Rattus norvegicus: one gene and its partners. The protein of the gene in region 1 purifies or fractionates together with the protein of each later gene. This does not show direct contact. Links are inferred from orthologs where the notes say so. Each region holds a gene or a part of one and is shown in the gene's direction. Other genes may lie near its edges. The genes, in order: Arpc1a, Arpc3, Actr3b, Arpc4, Actr3, Arpc2 and Actr2.

The links.
Region 2: the proteins of Arpc1a (region 1) and Arpc3 purify together in Homo sapiens (affinity purification with mass spectrometry; 8 studies listed by BioGRID and IntAct, counting the BioPlex papers as one, with this or other methods). This does not show direct contact. The link is inferred for Rattus norvegicus from reciprocal best matches to the Homo sapiens genes ARPC1A and ARPC3.
Region 3: the proteins of Arpc1a (region 1) and Actr3b purify together in Homo sapiens (affinity purification with mass spectrometry; 5 studies listed by BioGRID and IntAct, counting the BioPlex papers as one, with this or other methods). This does not show direct contact. The link is inferred for Rattus norvegicus from reciprocal best matches to the Homo sapiens genes ARPC1A and ACTR3B.
Region 4: the proteins of Arpc1a (region 1) and Arpc4 fractionate together in Homo sapiens (co-fractionation; 7 studies listed by BioGRID and IntAct, with this or other methods). This does not show direct contact. The link is inferred for Rattus norvegicus from reciprocal best matches to the Homo sapiens genes ARPC1A and ARPC4.
Region 5: the proteins of Arpc1a (region 1) and Actr3 purify together in Homo sapiens (affinity purification with mass spectrometry; 7 studies listed by BioGRID and IntAct, counting the BioPlex papers as one, with this or other methods). This does not show direct contact. The link is inferred for Rattus norvegicus from reciprocal best matches to the Homo sapiens genes ARPC1A and ACTR3.
Region 6: the proteins of Arpc1a (region 1) and Arpc2 purify together in Homo sapiens (affinity purification with mass spectrometry; 8 studies listed by BioGRID and IntAct, counting the BioPlex papers as one, with this or other methods). This does not show direct contact. The link is inferred for Rattus norvegicus from reciprocal best matches to the Homo sapiens genes ARPC1A and ARPC2.
Region 7: the proteins of Arpc1a (region 1) and Actr2 purify together in Homo sapiens (affinity purification with mass spectrometry; 9 studies listed by BioGRID and IntAct, counting the BioPlex papers as one, with this or other methods). This does not show direct contact. The link is inferred for Rattus norvegicus from reciprocal best matches to the Homo sapiens genes ARPC1A and ACTR2.

What each region holds. Positions count from the first base shown.
Region 1 is NC_086030.1:14,636,253-14,640,384, reverse strand, and holds the start of Arpc1a (actin-related protein 2/3 complex subunit 1A), read left to right. Parts: upstream 1-1,332; 5' UTR 1,333-1,451; intron 1,452-4,132. UniProt on the Homo sapiens protein: Probably functions as a component of the Arp2/3 complex which is involved in regulation of actin polymerization and together with an activating nucleation-promoting factor (NPF) mediates the formation of branched actin networks.
Region 2 is NC_086030.1:39,840,937-39,844,436, reverse strand, and holds part of Arpc3 (actin-related protein 2/3 complex subunit 3), read left to right. Parts: intron 1-729; coding exon 730-829; intron 830-1,460; exon of another isoform or gene 1,461-1,603; intron 1,604-3,500. UniProt on the Homo sapiens protein: Component of the Arp2/3 complex, a multiprotein complex that mediates actin polymerization upon stimulation by nucleation-promoting factor (NPF).
Region 3 is NC_086022.1:10,086,563-10,090,566, reverse strand, and holds the start of Actr3b (actin-related protein 3B), read left to right. Parts: upstream 1-1,204; 5' UTR 1,205-1,267; coding exon 1,268-1,311; intron 1,312-4,004. UniProt on the Homo sapiens protein: Plays a role in the organization of the actin cytoskeleton.
Region 4 is NC_086022.1:148,076,560-148,080,698, forward strand, and holds the start of Arpc4 (actin-related protein 2/3 complex subunit 4), read left to right. Parts: upstream 1-1,339; 5' UTR 1,340-1,369; coding exon 1,370-1,372; intron 1,373-3,909; coding exon 3,910-4,028; intron 4,029-4,139. Other genes in the region: Tada3 (transcriptional adapter 3), read right to left, coding at 69-74. UniProt on the Homo sapiens protein: Actin-binding component of the Arp2/3 complex, a multiprotein complex that mediates actin polymerization upon stimulation by nucleation-promoting factor (NPF).
Region 5 is NC_086031.1:39,369,010-39,372,509, reverse strand, and holds part of Actr3 (actin-related protein 3), read left to right. Parts: intron 1-1,362; coding exon 1,363-1,458; intron 1,459-2,744; coding exon 2,745-2,852; intron 2,853-3,500. UniProt on the Homo sapiens protein: ATP-binding component of the Arp2/3 complex, a multiprotein complex that mediates actin polymerization upon stimulation by nucleation-promoting factor (NPF).
Region 6 is NC_086027.1:83,268,902-83,272,934, forward strand, and holds the start of Arpc2 (actin-related protein 2/3 complex subunit 2), read left to right. Parts: upstream 1-1,357; coding exon 1,358-1,431; intron 1,432-4,033. Other genes in the region: uncharacterized protein LOC103690558, read right to left, coding at 613-700, 779-1,259, 1,317-1,359. UniProt on the Homo sapiens protein: Actin-binding component of the Arp2/3 complex, a multiprotein complex that mediates actin polymerization upon stimulation by nucleation-promoting factor (NPF).
Region 7 is NC_086032.1:98,504,093-98,507,592, reverse strand, and holds part of Actr2 (actin-related protein 2), read left to right. Parts: intron 1-3,029; coding exon 3,030-3,162; intron 3,163-3,500. UniProt on the Homo sapiens protein: ATP-binding component of the Arp2/3 complex, a multiprotein complex that mediates actin polymerization upon stimulation by nucleation-promoting factor (NPF).

The sequences.
Region 1 (4,132 bases):
TACAGGGCTGGGGAGCTAAGGTTGTGGATGATGTTAGGTAAGCACTGTCAACTGAGCTACATCCCCAGCCATGATCTTTTTTTTTTTTTTTTTCTTTTTTCTTTTTTCTTTTTTTCAGAGCTGGGGACCGAACCCAGGGCCTTGCGCTCGCTAGGCAAGTGCTCTACCGCTGAGCTAAATCCCCAACCCCTCCAGCCATGATCTTTATTTTTACACTTAGCCTAACATTCTCAGACGTGTGTAAAGCCCCTGCTGTGCATGAGCAGACCCCTAGCTTCCACCAACCCTAAAGCTAAGAGTACTCTAACCTAGTTTGAAACCTAAGAAAGATTGACTCTTCTTGCTATAGCCCTCCTACCTGATGTTCCCTATAACTTCGCTATATGTACTGACTTATGGCTTTCTCTTGTCCTGCAACTATAAAAGTTCACCAAAGGGGTTGGGGATTTAGCTCAGTGGTAGAGTGCTTGCCTAGCAAGTGCAAGGCCCTGGGTTCGGTCCCCAGCTCTGAAAAAAAATAAAAAAAAAGAAATTGCATCTACATAGCAAACACTCTTCCCATATTTCCACTGCACCTCCTTGCAGTGTCACTGTGGGTGTAGAAACAAGTGCTCCTGATCTAGGAGCGGTCAAAGGCACTCTTGGGTAGACATGAGACTTTCTACTGAGGGTGCAAGGCACGGACAGCCCTCCAGGCAGAAAGTAGTCTACCTACCAATCCTGACCCACCCTCTACGAAGGTGCATACGTAGTTGCAAGGGAAAGAACACAAACCTAGTTGCAAGGGCTGGCTAGATAGCTCAGTTTAAAAGACTGTGCTGTTCTTGCCAAGGACCTGAGTTCAGGTACCACATGGGGTAGCTTACGGTTCTAGCTCCAAGAGGATCTGTTGTTCTCTTCTAGCCTCCGGGGCACCTGCACTCACATGCACATACCAACACAGACATCCACATGAATATTTTTTAAATTTTTGGAATTGTTCTTCAGAACCAGGAAGCCTGAGAGAGCCTGTCTCAGTGATTTATGACAAAAAAACACTTGAGACTGCACACTTTATGACACTGCACACTTGGGCCATGGCTCAGGAGTGTGTGTGTGTGTGTGTGTGTGTGTGTGTGTGTGTGTGTGTGTGTGCTTAAGTCTCTTTAAAGAAAGGAGCAGGACTCCTATCCAGTTCCATAAGCACGCCCTAGCGCTGACTAGCGGCTGCCTCATCTGAGCAACCGCAGCCATTCAGACAGAGCACCCCAAAGAGGGCTATGTTCTGCGCCTGCGCCCGGCGGGCAGCCGAAAGAGGCTGCTCTGCGCAGGCGCCCTGACCACTTCCGGGATCTGTCAGCCGCTCCCTCTAGGCCTCCCTCCTCCGTCCGCGCCCGCCGGAGCCTGTTCGCGTCGACTGACCAGAGTCCGCGAATCGTTCGCTCCGGACCTCCCGACCTCCCCTACCCCAGGTAAGGAGCTGCAGGGCCGAGAGTCTGGTCCGGGTCGCCTCCATTTCTTGTATGTTCTATGGCACGCGGGGGCGGCGGGCCCAGGTCGGTTAGGCGCGGGGTCTTGAGTTGAGGGGGCCGGGATCTCCGTTCTTCGTGGTTACCCCTGAGTCCCTGATCCCCACCTCCACCCTACCCCCCAACACACACAGACACAGACCGAGCGTTCCTGAGCACTTTCCAGCTGCCCTCCGTCTCGGATGGGAGAAGGAACAGCTTGGCCTCCGACACCCCCACAGTTCCATTTGCACCCCTACTGTGAGCGTTTACCACAATCTGTAAAATTAGTTTAGACGGGCCGATCTCCCCCGATGGCTTGTCACGATGGCTTGTTCATCTCTTCAACGTCTAGGATGTTGCCTAGAGCAGCCTCCGATCCATCAGTTATTGGGGAACCCTCCCCAGCAAGAGAAAACCCATCTTTCGAGTAGCCTTAAGATTCCTTTGCTCCAGCCCCCGCCCCAAGTCAAAGTTGTACTCTCCTCTTCATTCCGATTCATAGGGTCCTTTATGTAGAACCGCCGGAGTTCCCATTTGACTCTGCCATTTGTCAGGTGTCTCTGGAAAGGTTGTTTCTTGATGCCTCAGTTTCCCCAGCTGCAGTAAGAAGATTCTTAGTCCGCTTGGTTTTATTGGGTTCATGTGGAGTTCATTTGCTTGAGTTGCTTACAGTAATTCCTAACCCAGAGTAGCTGATCTAAAATAAGTAACAGCCGTTACTAGTGCCTTCATTTCCTTTCTGCTCTTTCCTCCGGAGAAGGACTTGAGGACTAGGTTTTATTTATGTTTCTGGCCCCATTCAGATACTTAACATTGTTGGGAACTTGGGAAGCACTTAATAAATTGCACCTTAGAATCTCTGAGTATAAAACCATCTGTTGTCGTGGTGCGACTTGGGAGGCTCCTATCTCCTCCTTGCCCAGTTTTCTGAAATGACCTAGTTTGGCATCCTATCTTATCAGTGTCACGTAATCTTTTGGTTTCCATGTAGGCCTTAGGATTTCAGATCTCTAGAAGTTATCAGTTCGGGGTGCTGTCTGGGGGCGTGGGGCTTCTTCAGTTCATCTTCTGTCACAACTGGGGGATCCTTCTGGAAATTGCAGACTCCTATGGAGGATGGGTGGCAGTGTTTTGATCTAAATTATCTAGCGTTAGGTCAAAATAAGTTCTCTATAGGAAGTGTGGAGATGGTCTGATGAAGCTGGAATTTAGAATGAAGCATTGGTAGGGTGTGGTAACCTTGTTGGAGCTCTTGTTGGTATCGCTGGGTTGGGTAACGAGAGCAATTAGTAACTAGATGAATCACAGATTTGAAAATGACCCTAACAGGGAATGGAAGTTCTAACTTAACATGAATTTGTCAAGTTCTAGTGGAATGGAGCCAAGACATCAACATAGGTAGACGTGTCCAAGTTCAGAGGATCCTTCTAGGGCTGGTCCAAAGCTTTGTGCCAGAGACTAATTTACTGGGCTTGCAAGATGGCTCTGCCATTAAAGGCTAGACTTACAGAAAACTAACTTATTGGGGTCCGGTCTGGGGTGCTTTTATGTGCTATCTCACTTAACCTTCCTGACAGTTGTCTTGTAATGTCATTTGGAGATGAAATGAAAAACGTCCCAGCGTCTCATGATGTATGTGTTAAAACGAAGATTCAAACTCAGGTCCCCTTGTCTCCAGATGCCATGGCTAACCAGATAGTAAAATGACTCCACTCGAAGGCTGGGAACGTGGCTGAGTTGGTGGAGCCCTTGCCCTGGTGTGCATAGTGTGCGGGTTGGCTCCCCAGCAGGGCAGGAAGAAAAGACTGTGCTAAGTGAAAACCGAAGAGAGTAGGAGCCCATGGAGTCACCTCTTTTTCAGTCCTTTTCATCCCTCAGTGCTGGACAGCGGCAACAGAAGCCTGGGTTTTTGGTCGTTGGTTATGTTTGAGACAGATTCTTAATTGTATATAGTCCTGGTTGGCCTGGAACTCACAGAGATCCTTCTGCCTCTGCCTCCTGAGTGCCCAGAAAACTTATTGTTCACATAATCACCTAGAGTGTTCCCCTTTCTCCTTTTGAGCCTTGTTAAGATTTTCAAACACTGCTTAAATATCACCTGCTGTTTAGTGATTTTAAATTATCACCATATGAATAAAGGTTCGTTTTGCTTGGTACAAAATTGTGGCTTAAAATAGCCAAATGACTATAAAGGAAGGACATGTCTGAATGTATGTTCAATTATAAGACTTGACTGAAAGAACAAAATTAGAAATGCAGTTGTAGAAGTAATTCTGCTGTTCTTTAGGAAGTGCGTCCTTAGAAACCCCGAGTGAGAGAATGAGAAGTCTATCTGGAGGTGTGACTCTCAGCTCTTCATGAACTAGGTGTCCTCTTTGCATGTGGATAACCAAGGCACTAGCTTACAAACCAGCTTTGTTCCCTTAAAAAGCAAGTCCATCAGCTTTGGGGTCTAAGCTGCATTGTTCACAGTTAGTAATATTTGTAACAATCCATTCTTTTAAGGTTTATCTGTGTGTGTACGTTGCCATGTGTGTGGTTGCCATGTGTGTGGTTGCCATGTGTGTGGTTGCCATGTGTGTGTCTGTATGTGACTGCCATGTGTGTGGTTGCCATGTGTGTGTTGCCATGTGTGTGGTTGC
Region 2 (3,500 bases), about 25 Mb from region 1:
CCTGAGTAGAGCTTAGTTGGTAGAGCAAGCAGTTGCCTAGGGTGCCTGAAGCCCTGGTTTAGTCGCCAGTTCTGTGGTTATCTAGGCCCGTCATCCCAGCATTGGGCAGGGGAGGTAGAAGTTCAAAGTTGGTGCTGGAGAGATGGCTCAGTGGTTAAGAGCACTGACTGCTCTTCCAGAGGTCCTGAGTTCAAATCCCAGCAACTACATGGCAGCTTACAACCATCCGTAATGAGATCTGATGCCCTCTTCTGGTGTGTCTGAAGATAGCTAAGGTGTACTCATATAAATAAAATAAATTTTAAAGGTGTTCAAAGTCATCCTCACCTACATAGTGAGTGAGAGTGAGAGACCACCAGCCTGGGCTACGTGTTGTGGTTGAAGGGGCTGGGGGTGGGGAAACAAGTTCAAGGAAGAGTCATGTTGTGGTCATAAGGCAGGAAGTGGCAGATTTCAAAACTAGGGCTTGGGTCCTGGCTAGCTGGCGGGTGGGAAGCCTGTTTTGTGTGGTCTCTGCAGTGAATGTCTAGGGAACGGCTGTGCTCACTAACCAGCTGACAGAACGTCTCAGAATCCACCAGTCTGTTCTCTTGAGTCAGGAGCTGTCTCTCTGTAGCTGCCACCAGCCCTCTCCTCCCACAGTTGGTCCTGAGGGTGTTTTCCTTTGGAGGACTAGCCTTGTCTCCTAGTGACACTTGTTCTTTCTCCCCTGCTGGCTTCCTTCCGCAGGCTTACCACTCTTCTCTCATGGACCCTGACACCAAGCTCATTGGCAACATGGCACTGCTGCCCATCCGAAGCCAGTTCAAAGGACCCGCCCCTCGAGAGAGTAAGTCTCGCTGTCCTTTTGTTCGGGGTCAAGACAGACCTGCTGACTTGAGAACGAGCTTAGCTTGATTCACGTGTACTCAGCTTCCTGTTACACTCTACGGGGCGGCATCACAGTTACCCACGCCACAGGAAGCTGCTTTCTCAAAACCTAGGATGTTTGCGTGAGCTTAAAGGAAATGTGGCCGGGTTGGTAGAGACCTTGCTTGGCATGGAGGAGAGCCTGGGTCCCATCTACGGTACACTGAGAGCCAGGTGTTGGGGCGCACACCTATAATCCTAGCACTTGGGAGGAGGCGGCAGGAAGATCAGAAGTTCAAAGTCATTCTCAGCAAGTTCTAGGCCAACTTGGGCTACTTGAAACTCTGTCTCAAAAAAAAAAAAAAAAAAAAAAAAAAGAGGAAATGTGTTGAATTCTGGCCACAGTCCCCACAGGCACTGTCAGTCATTTCAGACTGGCTGAATGGCAGGTCCCCAGCCTTCTTCTGTCACCATGCTGGACAAAATAAGCAACAGACAGCGTTACGTGGGCACGGGCAGTACCTAGGAGGCTGAGGTAGGAGGTGGTTGGAGTCTGGTAGTTCAAGACCTGCCTAAGCAAGGGCGAAACCTGTCTCCAAAAATGGAAGGAAGTCCAAGGTGATTCCCTCTCCAAAGGGCTGACTGTGTGCCCTTTTCAGGGACGTAGCAACTTGGAAGAAAGCCAGGCATGCCCAAGGTCTCTGGTGAACAGGGAATACTTGTTTCCTTTGCCTTCCTTTGGCTGCCCACATATATAAAAATAATAATAATAATAATAATAATAATAATAATAATAATAATAATAAATAAAATTTACAAAAAATGGAAGGAAAATGAACCTTTCTCCACCAAAGCTATTATTTCTTTGGTCAACTTTAAAAACAAAAAAGTAGTCATTTTCTTTTCATTCTGATTTGTATGTGAGGGCCCATGTGAGCCACCGCCCACAACTGGAGGTGAGAGGATAATAAACCATAAATCACTAAACCACGTCTGACTTTACACTGAGTCCTGGGGATTCGAACTCAGGTGATCAAGCTTTCTCTGCAAGCCCTCTTACCCACTGAGCCATCTCTGCAGCCCTCTGTCAGTTTCTTACCATACCCCAGTGTTATTTAAGCCTTGCTTGGATATGTGAGAAGAAAAATCTCTCTCTGAAACCCTGGTGGGCCTGGAGGTCAAACAAGCCAGCCTCAGTTGTGGTGCTCCTGCTGCCTTCTTCCCCGGGTCTGGGGTAACAGGCGTGTGCTCCCTTCCTGCCTTCTTCCCCGGGTCTGGGGTAACAGGCGTGTGCTTCCGTACTTCAGTCTTTTTTTTTTTTTCCTTTAAGACTTATTTGTGTTTTTTTTTATTGTTTTTTTTTTTTGTTTGTTTGTTTGTTTTTTTTTTTGGTTTTTTTTTTTTTTTTTTTTTGGTTCTTTTTTCCGGAGCTGGGGACCGAACCCAGGGCCTTGCGCTCCGTAGGCAAGCGCTCTACCACTGAGCTAAATCCCCAACCCCTCTTATTTGTTTTATTTATATGAGTACACTGTTGCTATTTTCAGACACACCAGAAGAGGGCATCAGATCTCATTACAGATGGTTGTGAGCCACCATGTGGGTGCTGGGAACAGAACCCAGGTCCTCTGAAAAGCAGTCAGTGCCCTTAACCACTGAGCCATCTCTCCAGCCCATAACTTTGGTTTTTTTGTTTGTTTGTTTGTTTGTTTTCTTTTTTTTATCTTTATTAACTTGAGTATTTCTTATTTATATTTCGATTGTTATTCCATTTCCCAGTTTCTGGGCCAACATCCCCCTAGCCCCTCCCTCTCCCCTTCTATATGGGTGTTCCCCTCCCCATCCTCCCCCCATTACCGCCCTCCTCCCAACAATCATGTTCACTGGGGGTTCAGTCTTGGCAGGACCAAGGGCTTCCCCTTCCACTGGTGCTCTCACTAGGCTATTCATTGCTACCTATGAGGTTGGAGCCCAGGGTCAGTCCATGTATAGTGGCTTAGTCCCTGGAAGCTCTGGTTGGTTGGCATTGTTGTTCATATGGGGTCTCGAGCCCCAACTTTGTTGTTTTTTAAAGACAAGGTCTTGCTGTGTTGCCATGGCTGGCCACTGCACCTCATGGTGTCAGAGTTCCTAATGATCGGCTTCTGGCTATGGTGAGGTAGTGTCTCACTCAGAGCATTTAAATTGTGTACCCCTGAGACCAGAGGTGTTGAACACTTTTCAAGATAGTTACTGGCCATTCATGTTTTAGTTTGAAAAGTGTCTGTTTACTGGTCCATTTTGGTTGTGTGTGTGTGTTTCTTTTCTTTTTTTCAGAGCTGGGAACCGAACTCAGGGCCTTGCGCTTGCTAGGCAAGCGCTCTACCACTGAGCTAAATCCCCAACCCTGTGTATGTGTGTTTTAAGACAGAGTTTCTCTGTATAGTCCTCACTGTCCTAGAACTCATACTGTAGACCAGGTTGCCCTCAAACCACAGAAATACTGCCTGCCTCTGCCTCCAGCAGATCACAGCTTTGTTTCCCAGTCTGGTCTGAGAATTTTGGGGTTACCCACTTTTACCACCTGTTGTTAAGTGTTTGCAGTCATCAGGGTGCAATGTCCACTCCGCCCTCAGCTGTACTCTGGATTCCCCATTCAGTTCCTGAGGTAACTT
Region 3 (4,004 bases), on another chromosome or scaffold:
AAGTTCCTCAGGCATCAGTCAAGAACTTTAGAGGCTAATGTGTAGGGCACAAGTGGGATTTCCGGTAGGTAGGCAGTTTCCTTCTTTAGTCTTGGTTTCCTCAACGATGCTGGGTGATCACCCTATCTTTCATATTGGAAATATTTCCTAGTTCTGTTGGTGTGGTATTGACTTAACCTAAGTGTTCTAGGTCATGTCGACTTGACACACTGTTAAAGCATGATCAATATAATAATATACATGGAGCAAATGATGCTAAACACACAGCATTTATTCCTTAAGACTAATTATACATTTGTTGATTTTCTCCCAGGATACATTTATGCAATGTTCTATCATAGAAAGTCGTCAGTATTTTTTTCTACAGTGAAGGTTACTCATTCATTCAACATTCAGGTGATTACTATCAGAGCGCTAAAGGTGTTAAGCATGAGGCCCTGTCCTAGGAGACCTAGTTCAGCAGAGGTGCTTATCTATAAATAAGTACCCAAACTAGCTTTAAAGGTTAGAAACAAAATCAGGAGGTTGTTGGGGTAGAGAATGAAGGGAACACCGAAGTGAGAATTAAGAGAAGAGAAAGCGGGGCTAGAGAGATGGCTCAGCTATTAAGAGCACTTGCTGAGCTTCCAGAGGACCCAGTTCGGACTCCTGGTGCCCACTCACTGCTGTCTATAACTTCAGCTGCAGGGGATCCCAAGCCTCTGGCTTCCAAGAGCACCTGCTCTTACATACATGCACCTACCAACAGACAGACACACACCCAATGATATCAAAAAAGTTGCAACTAGATAAGCCGAGAGTGGTGGTGCACACCTTTGATCCCAGCATTACCGAGGCAGAGACAAGTGGGGCTAGCCTGGTCTACAGAACAAGTTCCAGGACAGTAAGGGCTACACATAGAAACCCTGCTTCGAAAACAAAACAAAACAAAATTACGATTTGAAAAAAAGAGAGAAGAGAAAGAATTCAGGCCTCGCAAATGGGGTCATAGTCATCTTATGCTTGTTAAAAATAGACTCCAATCTCTTCCACTGCAGGATGGATGCAGAGGCTAAAAAGCCTAGCTGCCAGCAGTAAGGATGGCTGACAAGGGGGCGGAGCGTGCGCGTCCCCGATTGGCCAACTGTAGAGTGACGTCACGAGGCGGAGCCTCTGGGTTCCCGGCCGCTCCTGGGTGGGGAGCGGCGCGGGCAGCGACCTGGCAGCTAGGCTCTGGGTCCCCGGTGCACGCTGGGGCTGGTGGGGACCGAGCGCCTCGTGGACGAGCATGGCGGGCTCGCTGCCTCCCTGCGTGGTTGACTGCGGCACCGGGTAAGAGCCGCGCCCACTCACGCTTCGCTGGGCGTCCTGAAGCCATTTCCCCGCGGGGTCAGACCGCTGGAGGAGCGCGGAGGGACGAAGCGCTGAGGGACAGAGCTCAGTCTGAGGGTTTGGGGAGTTTGAGGGATAGGGCTCAGTCTAGGGGTGGGGTGGGGAACTGTGGGGACGGAGCTCAATCTGAGGGCATAGAGAGCTAAGGGATGGGGCTCTGAGAAGATGGGGTGCTGAGGGCATGGGGCTGCGGGGTTGCCGGGTGGGCAGCACCTCGTGGGGATGTTGCTGCAGATGCTTTCGCTGCAGGTCTTGCACCTGAGAGCTCAGGGTCCGGCCCCCTTCCCCCCACGACTGCTCCCCCCCACCCCCATGGTGCTTGTCACCTGTCTTCATACTTTGCACTCATGGGCGTTTTACCTTTCTCTTCTGATGTACCAAGCACCTACTTGTGGAGATGTTTACACGTGCCTTGTCAACTTGACACCCTGTCCCCCTTCCCACTCTGCTCTTTTCCACTCTGAATGGCACAGCCAAGCCCAGCCCCTGCTTTGGTTTGCATGCACTCATCTTTGCTTTACACACACACACACACACACACACACACACACACACACACACACACACTGACCGATGCATTTAAAAAAGACTAACATTTTGAATAAAAAGTCTTCTTTTTTGGGAGGTAGATAGCTCTTTTCTTTTTGGAAGACGTTGATTTTTTTTTTTCAGAGGAGACCTTAAGCGTGGCTTATGCTGTCAGGCTTAGCTAATTTTAGGAAGGTGGCAACCAAGCCCTCCAACCTGGGGGTTTGGGAATACCTGCTGGCATTGCCGACAAAGTACTTCATAAATAGCCTGCAAATAAATTTAGCCTCTTAAAATGTTTTTCAAGGGATTGTAGTCCTTTGTCACCAAATAGTCTGTGGCATGTTCTCTTGCTATTCTTTCCTGTAGAAAAATATACTTGGTTTGGTTTCCTTGACAACCTTGTGGGGGTGTCTTCTAATTTGTTACAGTCCATCTCCTACTGATGTGTCTTTCCTTTTGGTACTCGGGAACCAGCAGTGATGCAGACTGGAAAAACATCCTTTATTTGTGCTAATTCTTCTTTTGGAAATACACGTTCTAGAGAAGTTTTGTTGCCCTGTATTTGAGAAGTTGCTTACTTCCAGACATGCTCAAAGCAGTAGGGCTCTCCCAGCCCACTCTGTATGTGCTGGCTCCCCTTACAGTCTCACCCTAACTGGTACTCCCTTCAGTCTGGTAGTGTCAGCAGTGAAGGCAATATGTAAAAGTTGTTTGTTTTAACGTCTGCGGGTGAGATTTTTGGTTGCTGAAATACGAAGCATTGTGCAGTGGTACAGCAAAACAGTTCTCCCCGGGTTTATAAACTGTGTTTTATTTCTTATTAGTAAGCTGAGATCTTACTCATTGTTCTTGCTATAAATATCTAAAGCATGCTCAGTTTTGACCTTTTGGGGTCAGTGATTAATGCTGCTGTCACCTCCAGTGGATCATCATGGCCCTGGGTGCCTCAGGGTGTCATCTGTGGGCTGTCATAGGCTCTGGACACAGTGCCAGGGACCTGGGGTTCCTATGGGGTGTTTTCTGCCATTGAAGCCCCTGTGGTTATCATGACTTCCTAGTGCTCAGTGTGTGAGCAGAAGGAAGGCTGCATAGCCTAAACGTGCCAGCTTCCATGTATTAGTAATTCTTGTATTTATTTTGGATTGAGTTTTTACCTCAGAATAGAACTAAATGTAAGATACAGCTGAAAATAGCAGGGGCTGGGGGACAGAATAGACTTGGGAGATCTCATTTTGGACCAAGTTATACCTCAGAATAGAACAGTGCAGCTAAAAATAGCAAGGGCTGAGGAACAGAATAGACTTGAGAGATCACGTGGGCACTGCTGATGAAATAAGTGGACAGATTTTTGTTTTGCATTGTGTTGTGTTGTTTTGATGGTGATAGGCGTCAAACCCAGCGATATTGGTAAGGGAAGCCTCTGCCACTGAATTGCACCCTGAGGTCCAGTCTTGTCCGTCTGTGTGCCCTCTCTGTTTCTCTGTCTTACTGTCTCTGTCTTTCTCTTAAATAGAGTCTTCTCATTGTATAACCCAAGCTTGAACTGGACTTGAAGAAATCCTCCTGCCTCAGCCTCCTAAGCGTTAGGATTACGGGTGTGAGCTAGCATGCTCATCTGGCCTGTGTTTTATAGGAAATACATTTCTTTTGTGACCTCGAGTCTGATGAGCTGCCAAGCTAGCTGAGTGGACACAGGCATGCTGGGGACAAGAGAGAAACAGACGAAGGTATCTGTGAGGCCCAAAATTAAGTCTCAACTATTTAAAGGCTGCTGAGCTCCCAGAGAAAACACCACAAACCCTGTCTCACATCTCACCCAAACGTTTAAGGTAGTTTTACACAGTTAAACCATCTTTGAAGTGATTCCAAGCTTACTGAGAACTGGGAGAGAGCAAATCTATTCTTCCAGGTTCAGCGGCTTTGAACGTCATGCCACCCAAGACTCCTGAATGTGCTCTTACTTTTCTGAGCTGCTTAAAAGAAGGTTGTTGGCATTACCCTCCTAGATTTCAGTGCCTACTTTCTGAGTGAGAGCAAGGATTTATATAATCCCAGACTCGTCAGAGAAGTTAACATGTGTGCAGCACTGCTGTTCCCTCTGC
Region 4 (4,139 bases), on another chromosome or scaffold:
GTTGTACAGGCAGGTCTTGAACTTATGATCCACCTGCTTCAGCCTCCCAAGTCTCTAGGTGTACAAACCTGCATGATTAGGCCGGCCTCCTAGTTGCAATTTGAACCACTGTAGTCTCGAATCTGCAGCATTAAGGGAGAGGGGATACTAGTGTGCTCTGCCTTCCTATGTCCTCTGTTTCCTATACTGGGCCATTTCTATCTAACGGGGTTCTCCCGGCCTCTCCTTGCCTCACTCCATTCCACCTTTGCACCTTCTCTATGTCTCTAACTAGTTTGGAACACAGGCTGGTTAGGCAGACAGAACTAAGTTCCAGCCATTTTCTTATGTGCCTTTCTAAACATGTTATTTAACCTGAATCTCCGTTTTGGTTTTTGGGTTTGTTTTTTTTTCCAGGACAAAAGATGATGCCTCAGTCTATTTCCCCATTAAAAAGTAGGAATCTGTAAAATGGGGGCATCGAGAGTACCTACCTCCCTGGAATGTTCTGAGGATTAAGAAGTGATGCTCGTCAAGTGCCCAGCTCAGTGCCTGGCACAGAAGTGGGACTGCTTAATGGCTGGCTCCACCTGTGTGTCGCCCCAAGATCCCGCCTCCAGGGTCCTTGTCCTCTAGGGAGCCCCTAACACAACCCCCGCCTCTCCTACCTCCTCTCTGCGGCCTCCTACAGGCCCCGGGCCGCAGGAGGGGGCGGGGAGTCCAGGGCGATCGGAGCAACTGCTCCGGAACTGGCTATGGGCGGGCCCCCTGCAGTTGACGCGAGGGCGGGGACACGGCCAGCCCACAGTGACCTGTAGGGGTGGGGGCTGGGGGGGGTCTAAGGCCACCTACGAATCTCCGGGAAGTGGAATGCTAGGCCTGAGGAGACCGGGGCTAGGAAGCAGCCCGGGGCTGGGGCGGGGCTCTGAGCTCAAATCTCAAGGGACTGGCTACCCGGCCGAACCCTAGGGTTGCTAATGGGAGGAGCCCGGAGAGGATAGGGGAGCACCACCGGAAGAAACGTCGGGCTTCTCCGGTTCGGCCTGTCCTAATTTGGTGCCCAACCTGAGGTCGGGCCATACTATTGTCACACGGGGGGAGGCTACAACCAAAGCGCCAAGCGCTAAAGGCGCTGGAGGGATACGTGTGGGGACCCAAGGGGCCTCGACTGCTGTTATGTCACTGCAGATCTTCTACAAGTCCCAGCGGTCCCAGCGTGAAATCGCCTCAGAGATCTGAACATCCTTCGGCTCTTCTTCCCTGGTCCTGCCCGAGATGGTCCAGCCCGGAAGTGCTGTCGGGGACTGCGGCTGCGCCTCTCTGGAAAGGGCAGGCGTCCCGGGGCCGGGCACTTCCGCACTTCCGCTTTCCGGCCCAGACAGCGCCCGCGATGGTGAGAGACCAGGGGCTGGGGGCCTCCCTGTGTTTTGCCTGGAGAGGCTGTGGGTCTGGGGAAGATGCTGCTTGCTGCTAGGGCTTGCGACTGGAGGTTGCCCTGGGATGAGGGGGCACAGTGAGGATGGAGAGGCAAAGGGTGGGGCGAGGACCGAGGCGAGGAGGAAGGGGCGAGCTGGGAGGCTCTCCCAGGGCAGAGCAGGCCCAGAGGCTTCCAGGTTGGGAATCCCGGGCAAGAATGGCCTCTCTCCGAAGTTTGGAGGAGGCAGGAGACGGGACTGCTAGGCCTGTGGTGGTGGCTTGCAGTTGAGGTAGTAGGACCGCTGAGGAATGCAACGGGACCTCCTCTCCCTCCACGGTAGAGATTCGCTAAGTACAGCCCCCTGTCCCCGCCTGTCTCATGGTACCTCAAAGCAAGTGTCCACTTCACCTTATTACCTTCTCGGCCTTCCTGGAAGCCTTGCCTTTCAGCCCCCAGTGAAGGTTCTGTGTCGCCTCCATGCAGACTCCTTCCTGGGTGTTCAGTACCGTGTTGACCTTAACGTGTGTAAATTTTGATAGCCGCTGGTCCTTCCCTTCCAGGGGATGCTCGGCTCTGGTATCTGTGGGTGTTCCGTGCAGTTGTTCCCTGCAAGTTCCGTCTCTACCTACTGCTGTCCCTGGTCAGCTTTAATGACCTGAGTTCTGAAGGCTGGGCTGCTTGTCGCGCTCCTGTGAATACTGTCAAGGGAGAGACTTCGAGATTAGACCCTCTTTTTCAAAAGTCGTCTACTTTTCTAAGCTTGTTCCTGTGTCCTAGGTCCTAACTGGTTTCATTCCTCAGTGTGAAAGCTGTTTTCCTTCTGTCTAGCTGAGGAGCTAGCTTTGTGTGTTTTTAAGCATTCAAGTTTATTGTACGACTTCTTCAAGCCACTAAAGGGTAAATAGTGCAGGTTGGCCATCTAAAATTTGGATTTCTTTCAATGAACTTTGACAAGGTAATCATGTAGCCACAATCGAGGTAAAGAACAGTCTATCACTTTTCCGACGGTGCTTGCCACCCCACACAACTAATTTTGCCTTTCCAGCTTTGCCTCTTCTTGGTTGACATATAAGTAGGATTCTGTAGGGTGTCGCTAGAAGCCACTGCTGAGCTACATGACCGTTGGTTTTTAGCCCTTCTCCCCTCTGTCTGATGTGTGTCTGCCCCTGTGATTGCTGTGCTTGTCTCTGCTGCCGCACAGAGCTTATACTCTGTGCCTCTTCTCTGCCACAAGTCTCACTTCCCTCTCCATTCCATTCTCCAGAGAGCCTCCGTGTAGCTGTAGTCCTGTGACTTCCTCCTCAGAAAGTCCCAATGCTTCCCGCTACATTGAGAGAGAAACTCAGTGGAAAGCATTCTAGACTGTCTAGGGTTTTATCCCAGCCCACCACTGCAGCCTGCTTGCTCCGTGTGATTGAAAGCAGTTCTCACACACAGAAACCTTCACTCGTTACCACTTGGGAAGTCTTAATGCTCTTTTGTGTAAATCCAGCCCTGCTTAGGTTAGTTCATTTACACTACAGAAAATTTGTATGACACTATGTATAGGAAGGAGGTACTGAGCTGGTTACAACCTGCATGACTGAATTAAAGTTAACGTCTGTAGACCGTGAGAGTTACAAACTAGTAAAGGAAATCTTATTTGACAAACTACATGGCATTCTGTTGTGAATTATATGTAAAGTGAACATACCATAACCTATAACAAATGCATTGCGGGGGAAGTCCACAAGGCCATTTTGAGGAAGGAAGAGGCCTTCTCTACTGAGCTGATCTCTGAGAGACTGACCTAAGTAAGGAGGAGGAAAGCCTGAAGATGATGCCTCTCGGCATGTGATAGGCCCTGAGGGGAGAGAAAACTTGACCGAGACAATGCAGCTGGCCATTATAGCTGACCTCATCCACTCTGCTGAGAATGTCTGGGTTCTACTTTTTCTCATTGTAAAATCATCCTGATCTGTATGTGGTGAAAAACAATTTCTTTAGACAGTATAGACTATTTTTAAGCCTAGTTAATTTTATACTTGGCCCTCAGTCAGCCCTTGTGATCCTCACCCAGTTGAGCTGTTTGAGGGTAGAGGTGATCTGACTGAATTCCCAGCACATTCAGGGCATGGGTTGATACTTCTGTCAATGTAATAAGCAGATAGAGACGTGGATCCTTCTAGATCGGTATTACTTAGCTTTGGCACTGATAATGCTGCGTAATTCTGTTCTGCATGCCAGGATATTGGGCAGCATGCTTTGCCTGTGTCCACTTATATCTATAGTACCCCTGTCTCCAGGTCAAGACAGTCAACTTTTTCTTCAAACTTTGTGAATTGCTAAGCCAAATTATTGACTGCTGGGAACTGCTGCTCTAGATCTTGATTGGACTGCATCTTGAAGTCTGGGTATAATCTGTTCTGTGTGACAGCCATGCCTGAAGTCATCAGTAGCTTCAGTGGAGGGGCTGACTTTGTTTTGATGAGGCAGATTCTGATCCTTCCTCTGTCTTGACTTTATTCCTGCAGACTGCCACTCTCCGCCCCTACCTTAGTGCCGTGCGGGCCACACTGCAGGCCGCCCTCTGCCTGGAGAACTTCTCTTCCCAGGTCGTGGAACGACACAACAAGCCAGAGGTTGAAGTCAGGTAGGGAAGGAGGTCAGAGTGGGCTGAGGAGAACAGCTCCCAAGAACAAACCCTGTCCAAAGGGGGCAGAAATCCATGCTCTTGGATTGTCAGGATACCTTAAGTAACATT
Region 5 (3,500 bases), on another chromosome or scaffold:
CATTTCAGTATAAGTACATTTAGCATAACAGTTTTGACATGCATTGGTTTATCCATCTGTTAATGCATTTTGGTTTTGAATCACATCAAAATAAGCTATGTACAGATGAGAATCAATTCATGCTTAAACACTTAGTATGTCCATCATCGAATAGTTCATTATTGGTTTATATTCTTTTTCATATAAAGTTTTTATAAAAATGACAAAGCTAAATCATCTGTGGATTTTGATCAGATGTGACAAAAGAAAAAGGGCCAGAGACTGGTAGGTAGGTAGGTAGGTAATAGGTAGGTAGATCTGATAGATAGTTTAGCTAGCTAGACAGACAGACAGGTGAACTGATGGCCAGATGGATACTGAATAAGCCAAATGAGAGTTTAACGAGTTCTGTTACAGCCGTCCAGCTCCACTGTAGAGTGAGAACAGCCACAGACCATACGTAATGGACTGAATGATATAGATGTGTCCCTCTGAAGTAGTTTTTCAGAATTAGGTGATTGGCCCCCCTTTAGTTTTGATAGTTGTAGATGTTTAAATAACACATTATCAATACCTTTTCTAGTTAATTTATGCTTCTCATTCTTTAGAGGCAACCAGTGTTTCATTCTATTTTAACTTTTCTTAACAAATGAGATTAATCTTGCCTATAGTTGGTTTTACACAGATGAATTCATACAAGATGTGCTATAGTAAAACTTACGTCATGCAGTCTGTCTCTTTGAACATTCTTGTCCTTGTAGACAATTAATTTCATCCCGTTTGTGGACTTGCTCTGTTGTAGGGCAGACACTTAACTGGTATAGAGCTGTGGCCTAGGGTGACTCTTCACCCAACATTTTAATTGAATTGCACCTGCATTCTAGCCAGTTAATCTTTTTTAATTTTAGTCATTATGGCTCTTGATTTGGTCCTAATTTGCCTTTTCCTGGTGACTTGTAATGATATTGAACACTTCAGTTTTTTAATTGAAAATAAAATTATAATATGTTCTGATTACAGTTCCCCTTCCCCACTGCCTCGCAGATCTTCCCGACTTTCCCACGTAAATCCATACCCTTTTGTTTCTATCTCATTAGAATACAAACAAGCATCTAAAGACATAAACAAGCCAGCATGGGACAAAACAAACAGGGAACAAAAAACAAAAAGAGAAGGAGCATACAGACACTGAGAACATGTTACTTTCATATATGTGTTGGTCTGTTTCTACTCTGTACAGTTTTCCTATAGTCTTTGTGTCTCTCTCTACCTATAAATTTAGTGCCTTATAAATTATTTTATAGATTACTTCTCCTTTAGAAATTACCTATAAAGTTTGAAATGATTTAATATTGTCTATGTAAAATATCATTCATTCAATAGACTGAACCTCCACTGAATACTCCAGAAAACAGGGAATATACTGCTGAGATAATGTTTGAGTCCTTCAATGTTCCAGGCCTGTACATTGCTGTGCAGGTAAGTGACTTATGCTTATTTAAGCTTGACGTGAACATTTCATCCAGGATTAATTTTCTCCTGAACCGTGCATATCTTTTCCCAGAAACCTTTACCATAATTCAAATCATACCACGCTTTCTTAAAGTGAAAATTTAGACACAGTAGTGCTGTGCTTGGCCTGACTTCCTCAGTGCTTCTCATTCACTTGCTTATATCTGCTCCTTTCTTTGGTGTGCAGTAGTCAATAAGATTTCTGTAGCCCAGTATATTAATATATGCATATTCTAGTTTGGGATCTAATTGTTTATTATTTTGTAGAAAATGATCACAAAACAGGATTTACCAAAAAAGTATATTTCAAAATGAAATCTCAAAATTTTTCTCTTTTTTCTTCTAACATTATGTGAAACTGTTCATTGTAAAACCTTTAAAAAATACTGTGTGGTGATAAACAGTCATTGTATTATTAAAATGATGTTTTTGTTGTTATTGTTAAAATAGAGTGAGGAGCCATGGCCTCAATCTCAGGAGTCTGAAGCCAAATGATTGTTGGGAGATTTGTTTGTTTGTTTTTGGTTTTTAATGGAGGATGGTGAACTAAATACCTTTTGGTTCCTTTCAGTATTACATTGTAAGTGGGCAAAGTTAGTTTGATCATTTGTTTTTAGTTACTACTCATATATTTTGATTTTAAGAAATTACCTTTTTTAAAAAATGATAATTCAGTTTATAAAAGTTACCCCCATCCCCACCCCCCCCCCACCCCCTGGAAAGAATTGTTTTGTATTAGCCTTGATGAGATTCTTGGTAGGAAAAATGGTGTTGTGTGTTACTGGTTTTCTAGATAACTCAGGCTGTCTGGAAGTGCATGTGGCCTTTTTAGTTAAGTACTCGTATATGGACGGTGCTAAGTGCAGATAGCATTCAGAAACTTTTGAGTTTGAATTTTTAAGAGTAATGCTTGCTGGCTCATGAAGAGTAGAGCTTGGTAGTTTGTGGTAGTCTGGGTAGTGGTATTTAAGTTTGGAGAAGGTATTGGTGTGCTTGTTACATACATGTTTGTGTCACTCTTGTTGTTGTTTTTTTGTTTTTTTCCGGAGCTGAGGATGTTTGTGTCACTCTTGCTTGTGGCTCTAGGAAGAGAGTGTTCCTTTTAAACACTGAACTTTCTAAGTATCCTGATGCAAGGATATTAAGGGGCCCATAAATTGCAGAAAGTATGTAATGTCATTACAGGTTACTTCTGTAGACTTTCACCCCTAGTAACTCTTTAAAAGTTTATTTTGGTCTGTCTTACCTTTTAGGCTGTTCTTGCCTTAGCTGCATCCTGGACCTCAAGACAAGTAGGAGAGCGGACACTGACGGGTACAGTAATAGACAGTGGAGACGGAGTCACTCATGTCATTCCTGTGGTAAGTAAAAAAATTGCTAAAGAAAATGTGAAATAGTACACCTGGGGGTAAATGGTAGGAACTTGTGAGATCTTTACAAGACTCGAGGCTGTTTCTGGGCTATAATCATGGGCTGCATGAGGATCTGGAGGGTCTTAAGAACATCAACAGTGCTAAAAGGAGGCAAATGGCAGCTCCTTAGCAGGCTGTGCCCCAAAGTCATAGTTCCATTTGTAACTGATAAAGGTCCCAGAGCTGAGAACAGGGTTCTGGACCTCACGCAGTACATGTGGCACAATCAAGCCCAGATTTGACTTCACTTAAAGACCTAAAAAAGTAGCAGAGTAATCTGTGCTGATGGTCTCAGCTGGCATCATGGCTCATGTAGGGAAGAAGATGAGGACACACAGGCAGGAAAGTTCTTAGTGAGCACATGGCAGCTTCCAAGTATGGTGCACATTACATCTGTCAGCTACAGGCTTTCTGTGTGAATAGTTTGCCTATCCAGCAACCTCACAGAAATGGAATGATATACTCTGTTCTTTGTGACAGGCTGTGTTCACTTAGACTTAGGTTTCTGAAATTATTTATTATAGCACGTATGCTTCTTTATATTACCAAGTCCTAGTTTACTGGGTGGGTATATCACCTTTTGTTTAGGCTTTGGGT
Region 6 (4,033 bases), on another chromosome or scaffold:
TTTCGGAGCTGGGGACCAAACCCAGGGCCTTGCGCTTGCTAGGCAAGCGCTCTACCACTAAGCTAAGTCCCCAACCCCGATTTATTTCTTTCATATATATGAGTACACTGTAGCTGTCTTCAGACACCCCAGAAGAGGGCAGGGGATTCCATTATAGATGGTTGTGAGCCACCATGTGGTTGTGGGAATCGAACTCAGGACCTCTGGAAGAGCAGTCAGTACACGTAACTCTGAGTCATCACTCCAGCCCCTACCTGCACACTTAAAACAAATATTCCCACTATCAAACCAAAAAAAAAAAAAAAGTTCATTGCATAGAGAAGGGGCTTAATTAAAATTGTTCCTGGAAGAGAGAAAAATGGAAACATGGTACCCACGCAGAAAGGACAGTGGAGCACAGTGATAGAAAATTCTAACTGTAGCAGAGTTACTGGACCATGAGGATCACCTGAGGTGCACTTAAGCAAAGAAATGAAGGTGTGACAGGAATCCCGGAAGGCCCATCTGGATTCCTGTTAACTTTCTTGACTACTCATTCCTTTCCTTTATTGCCCAGTAACAATGTGTAGTTCATTGAGAATTTATTGTGTCTCCTTTATCAGACCATAAGCTTTAGGAGGGTAAGTCGTCATATTGCATTACACGATGCCCACTAAACAGTCGCTGGCAAAGAAAGGCACGAAGGTGCTGCAGGGTAGCCCTAAGTAAAGAGCATCCACAAGTTAGAAGCAAGAAGTTCCCCCAAAACAAGCTTCTTACGGGGTTTCAGAAATAATACCGGAAGGGTGGAATCGGGCCTCTGGAATATTCGGGAAAGGCGCAGGTGGATTGTAGTAAGGACAACAGGGAATGACAGGTGAGCGTTGGACTCAACTGGTCAGGAGAGGCGGGGCGGCGTGCCGCGCATGCGCACGCATGCCCTCTGCTTGCCTCCTTACCGGGACGCGCTTGCGGGCGTGTGCACGCTCGAGGTCGAAGCGGAAATGGCGCCGCGGGGCCGCGCGTCCGGGCGGCGAGCGGAAGTGGGTGTGAGAGCGGAAGTGGCCGGCTGGAGCCGGGGGCTGGGCGGGGACCGGGATCGTCGGTAAGGCGGCGGCGGAGGCGGCGGCGGCTCGGCAGGCGGGTTGAAGCTTCGGGGGCCAGGTCGGTCGGGTGGTGGCTGCCTCTACGGGCAGCGCGTGCCGGGCCAGCGCGTGTGTCCGCCTCTCCCCACCCCGCTCCCCGTCCCCTTCTCCCCTCACCTACCGCACCCAGCCCCCCTCGTCAGGGGCAGCGGGGCCGCTCCCTCAGTCCTACCCTCGCTTGCCCACCCTCACCGCCCTTGTTTCTCCTTCCCCTGCTCGGGGCAGCCGCCGCCATGATCCTGCTGGAGGTGAACAACCGCATCATCGAGGAGACGCTCGCGCTCAAGTTCGAGAACGCGGCCGCCGGGTAAGCGCACACTGGGAGGAGGCCGAGTTGACCCTAGCTAAATCCCGGGTGGCGTCCAGCTCCCCAGCCCTAGAGGGAAGAGGTCGGGAACCTGGCGCGGCTTCAGGGTTTCCTTAGCAGGATGGACGTGGGAAGCCACGGGGCGCGGTAAGCCGAAGGCCTAAGATGCGTGGGGAGAGGCTGAGACAGGGATGCGGAAGCAACGAGAGGGCAGGAGCAAGGCGTGCCAGAGAACAGACGACCTGTGGGACGTGAGGGCAGCCGAGGCCAGAAGTCACGTCCGAGAGCCTACTGTCCTAAGGGGGAAAGAGAGGGCCCCACTTTCCTCTATATTTACCGTCATTGTTCCGAACCCAGAAAGACCCTTTTGGGGAAGCTGGATTGAATGGAGTTTTTAGGAATTCCCAGGATGAGGTGGGAAGAACATGCAGGCCCAGATCGCCACCGGCATTCTGCTTCCCCACCCCCATCTCTCCCCCAGGAGAAGCAGGAGGCAAGACTGAAAGCAGACCCAGGCTTCTAGGAGGGAAAAAACCCTCTAACCTACTGCGAGAGACACTAGCCATTTTGTTACATATCTCTTAGGCAAAGCCAACAGTTCTCCATCCACTCTCTTTAGCTCTCAAGACAAGGTTGATTTGGTTGGGTGTCTTAAATTCTTATCCAAGACACCTGATCTTTGATTTCTAGTAATGCCCGCTGGGTTAATAGCTGCCTCTCCCAGAATCTATAAAGTTCTTAAGATAATTATTTATTAACATCAGCATCTTAATATGGGACGTATTTCAACCCTTCTCTGTCAAACACAAAAAAGCAAACTCCTCCCTTAAAGCTGCTTTGCCTCCCTAATGTATTTAAAACCTGAGCAGAGGTTTTAGGTTCTAATTTATGGTGGCCTGTGGCCACTCCTTTGCCTCATTTCCTCATTGGTGAGGATGGGGCTTCACATTTTGGTTTCACAGTTAGGAGGTAAGTGCAGACTGTTTCTGTGAACGGGGAACTGGAAATAGGAAAGTGCTTGCAGATCCACAGAAAGGAGAGGATTGGAAGGGGGGATTCATTCATTCTCCTCTTTAATTCTAAGCATTTATAATGAATGTGTGGTTCGCTGACACTGAAAGCATGGAATACATTGCCTGTTCTGTCTCTTTTGTAAGGCTCCACGTTTTATCTGCAAACAAAATAGGACAGTCCTTGAATTGGTGCGTTCAGTGAACATAGTTTCCTGCCCTGAGTGCCGTTGAGCACATGCTGCCTATTCACTCGCTCTTATTCACCTTGTTTGCATTTTGAGTTTTGGAATTAGTCGACACACCGGGGCTTATTGTAGGTGATGGGGTGTGTGCTTTTTTTTTTTTTTAATTAGTGTGGCACAAATGAGGAAGTTAAGATAACTTCTGCATTTTCACAACTGATCTTAATACATACATTCTCAAGTCTTGACTAGCAAAGAATGAGTCCTGGGTGGTTATAAGCGGATCTACAAGATAAATGGCTGCGTGTGTTCAAGTGGAGGCATGCCTTTAAATGGAGGAGGACTTTCATAGTTATTTATTTGTTAATAACTTGATTCTAAAATGTGACCCACTATTCAGAACCTTATGTAGCCCTTTTACTTTTAGAAAACTCTCCTTAAAGTTCTGTGGTCGGTGATGTATGCCTGTAGTCCAGGCACATTCAACTGTAACCCCAGCTTTCAGGGGCTCATATGAGCGAGACAGGAACAGCAAAAGTTCCAGGCCCTAATGAAACCTTGTATTTAAAAAAAAAAAAAAAAAAAAAAAGGCCAGGCCAAACTAGGTGTGATGTGCTTGTAATCTCAGTTCTTAGGCCATCCTGGCCTACCTTGTTGCAGAAAGATTAAAATAGAGTTTTAAATTTGGAGGGCATAAGTTAGAATTTCTGGTTTGTTTTTTGTTTTGTTTTGTTTTTTTGGATAAGGATGCTCACTGTAGCCAGGTTTAATGTCTGAGGCAGTAGTATGTTTTGTCTTATTTAGTTCATCCTTGGGATATGTGGCTTAACAAATATGCTCAAAACATTGTGTTTAAAAAAACTTTGAGAATCTTTGAGAAGAGACTGTGAAGGGCTGGGGTTTCCTGAGATTGCCTGTTTCTGCAGGGTGTGGTGGTACTCTCCCATAACCCTAGCACTCCTATAACCCTGGCAGCAGGGCCAACACAGGTTCCAGGCCAGCCAGGGATTATTTAGTGAGACTCTGTCTCAAAAGAAAAGAAAAGCCAACCTCTAAGCAAGTGTGCTCCAGTCTGCCTGTCAAGATGAGGCAGCACTGAAGTGGTTACTGAGGCCACGCGTACACCACTGCTGTCTTCTGCAAGGATGGGTCTCATCGGAGCTCAATGCCAGGCAGCAGTTGAAAGAACAGGGAGCCTTTTGAAGACAACCTGTTAGCAAAGTTAGGGAGGAACTGATGGACAAGCTCTGTTGGGAGAGGATAGAAAGCTTAAAGAAAAGGAGTAGCCCAGAGAGACTGTGCAGAGTGAAAGGCTGTGCAGGGTAGAAACCTGGGAGAGCTCAGCTCCACACTGCTCTCTGCACTTCTCAGAACAGATTAATAGGGAAATTCTGTTCATGGTAGCCT
Region 7 (3,500 bases), on another chromosome or scaffold:
AACTTGCACTTTAGACCAGGCTGGCCTCAAACTCAGTGCTTTTCAGATATACAGTATCTTTTCAAATGGAATCTGTGTTGTGTGATAGGACTCCTATCTAACTGAAATTGCATATCTTTTGATTAGCACCTCCTCGATTCAGTCACCAGCTCAGTGTCCCTGGTAACCATCATTCTGTTCTCTGCTGCTGAATTCACTGTCAGACTTGGCCTGGCTTCATCTAACACAATTTATTCCAGGCCTGTCTTCATCGCTACAAATCATAAGGTTTCCTTTTTTTAAGAGAGAATGATGTTTTACTGTGTCTATCATTTCTTTATTCCTTGAGATATGTATCTAGTGGTGGATTGCTGAATTGTTTGATAGCTCCATCTTTAGTTTTGGGGAGTGTTTCTATACTGTTTTCTGTAATGGTGACCATAATTTATGTCAGGGTTCCTTAAACTTTTCACTTATGACACCCCTATGTTAGTCAGGATTCTCTAGAGTAACAAAACGTATAGAATGAATATGTATGTATATATTCATGAATATGCATATATTCACATACACAAACACACACACAGGATTTATTAGAACAACTTATAAGCTGTGGTTTAGCTAATCGAACAGTGGCTGCCTTCTAGTTCAGGAATCCAGTCCACGAGGTTGGATGTCCTGACAGGTTTTCAGGATCAGCTGAAATCTCAAAGATGTAGGCTCCAATGCCAGTGAAGGAATGGACTTGTTAGTGAGGGGAGAGCAAGCAGGCAAAGAGGGCAGCCTCCTCCTTCCATGCTCTTATATAGACTTCGAGCAGACAGGGTGTGGCCCACACTAAAGGTGAGTCTTCCCATCTAAAAGATCTGGATTAGAAATAGGTCTTCCAATTTCAAATTAAGAAAAGACCCCTCACAGATGTACCCCACTGTGTTTGGGGTTTAGTTAATTCTTGATGTAGTCAAGTTGACAACCAAGAATAGCTATCATATACACCCTTTGAGGAAAGGAGTCGATTTCACTATATAGCCTTGGATGGCCTGAAACTCGCTATGTAGACCAGGATGACCTCTCTTAAGAGATCTACCTGGGGGGGGGGCTGGGGATTTAGCTCAGTGGTAGAGCCCTTGCCTAGGAAGCGCAAGGCCCTGGGTTCAGTCCCCAGCTCCGGAAAAAAAAAAAAAAAAGAGATCCACCTGGTTCTGTCTTCCAAGTGCTGGAAATAAAGGCATATACCACTTTACCTGGCTATGAACACTTTTTAGCTGAAAAATTTTTACATAATTCTCAGCATAGGCAAATATTTACTGATAATCATGAAGATATATATATATATTATATGTATTAAAAATGAAAACAAATTCCATACTAATGAAATGAATGGGTTTATTTGGTTTTACATAAAGAATTAAGTCTTGGGGATAGAGAAATGACTCAGTGGTTACCAGTGTTTGCTGCTCTTGCAGAGGACCCAGATTTGATTTCTATACCCACATGATAGCTTACCACAATCTGTAACTCCAGTACCAGAGAATCTGGAACACTCTTCTGACCTTATTAGGCACCAGGCACACATGACGTACACAATAATGCAAGAAAAACACATTAAATAAAAATAAATCTTTTTTAAAAATAATTAAATCTTAAACTGGATATGGTGGTTCACACCTATTTAAGGCCAACCATAGCTATATAGAAGTCAGTCCTGGACAGCATGAGACCTTGTATCAGAAGGAAGAAAGGGAGAACTCTTGGGTTGGGATGTAGCTTAGTGGTAGAGCACTGGCCTTGTGTGTATAAGACCTAGATTTTGGTTTTCAGACTTGTCCACACACACCAAAAGAAGAAATCTTGGCTGAATATTTGATAGTCCAGTTGAAGACTCTAACTGTTTTTAGTTGGTCAGTGTTTTGATTTTCTAATTGTTAGTGCTAGCCAGATTCGGTGGCAAATGTCTTTAATCCTTGCACTTGGGAGACAGATCTGAGTTTGAGGCCAGCACAGCCTACATAGCAAGTTTCAGGCCACCTAAGTCTGGATAGTGAGATCCTGTCTCAAAACACAACAGAGATGAGGCCCTCTCAGGCAGAATACTTAGCCAGCGTGTGTGAGCCACTAGCCTCAAACCTCAGTGCTGCAAAAAACAGCTGAACAAAATGGCACAAATATGTTTTAGGCCGTTTCAGAAATTATTGGAGACTCTGGGCTAATCTCAAGTCAGAATTCACATAAGGATTTTTTTTTTTAATGAAACTCAAAAATTAGGAATTCAAATATTAGTTTTTTACTTTTTTTTTGAGACAGGGTTTGTCTGTGTAGCCTTGGCTATCCTGAAACTCACTATGGAGACCAGGCTGGCCTCTGTCTCTCAAGTGCTGGTTAAAAATGTATTGATTTCATACTCACTGTGCCGAGAGTCGATGGTAGAAAAATGTCTTTGTTCACTCTCATGTTTTCGTAAGAGCAGAAAGCTGTACGTACCAGCTTTCTAACATGCCACAGTCTTGGGTGAGCTCAGGGGCGGCATGGCATGGCTGCATGAACACCGCACAGAGGACTGTGTTCAGAACGAGGCCACAGAGACGTTGCATGAGGAAATGTGGGCAGGCATGCCACGGACGCACACCGCTGACCCATTGCATGTTTGTGTTTGCGTTGTTTTGGCCGTTGCGCAGTAGAGAGCCTTCTGCTGCTCTGAAGTCTCCCCCAACATTCAGTTCCGTGTGCAGCTCAGGGCAGAGCGTGTGCTTTGTTGTTGGTTATCTGTTGGGCAGGCGTTTATTGCCATTTAATTTATGTGATAGGTGGTGTCGAGCTGATTTTCCTCCCTCCATGTCGTGGTACTTCTAATTTAGCAGAGACTTGAACTTCCGATCTTCCTTTCTCCACTTTGTAGACATCTGGCGTGTGTGGTGCTGCTGTGGAGCCCAGGACTTTGTGCTTCCTGGGCAAGTGCTCTGCTAAGCCTCATCTGCAGCCCAAAATTAAAAAAAGAAAAAATAGAGTACCATTTTCATAATCTGAAACTAAACACCCACTCTGTCTCCTAGATCTGAATTTTACAAGCACATTGTGCTTTCTGGAGGTTCTACCATGTATCCTGGCCTGCCATCGAGGTTGGAACGAGAGCTTAAACAGCTTTACCTAGAACGAGTTCTGAAAGGAGATGTGGAGAAACTTTCGGTAAGTATCTTTTAAAGCCCTGTAAAGTAGCCTTTGGATCTTGACAACCACTAGAGGGAGCCAGAGGTCTTCTAACAGATTTCTGTGCAGTTAGCCTCTTGAAGACTTACAGGGCTCACCGGAAACTGTTCCTACCTACGAGGTTACCACTGTGTTGAAGGAATACAGGTGACTGAGTCCAGTGTCCTTGGTAATCTGTAGTGAGCAGCCTGGGCTCTTTTTTTTTAAGATTTTTTATTTTATGTTTGAGTACACTGTAGCTATCGTCAGACACACCAGAAGAGAACATTGGGTTCCATTACAGATGGCTGTGAGCCACCATGTGGTTACTGGCAATT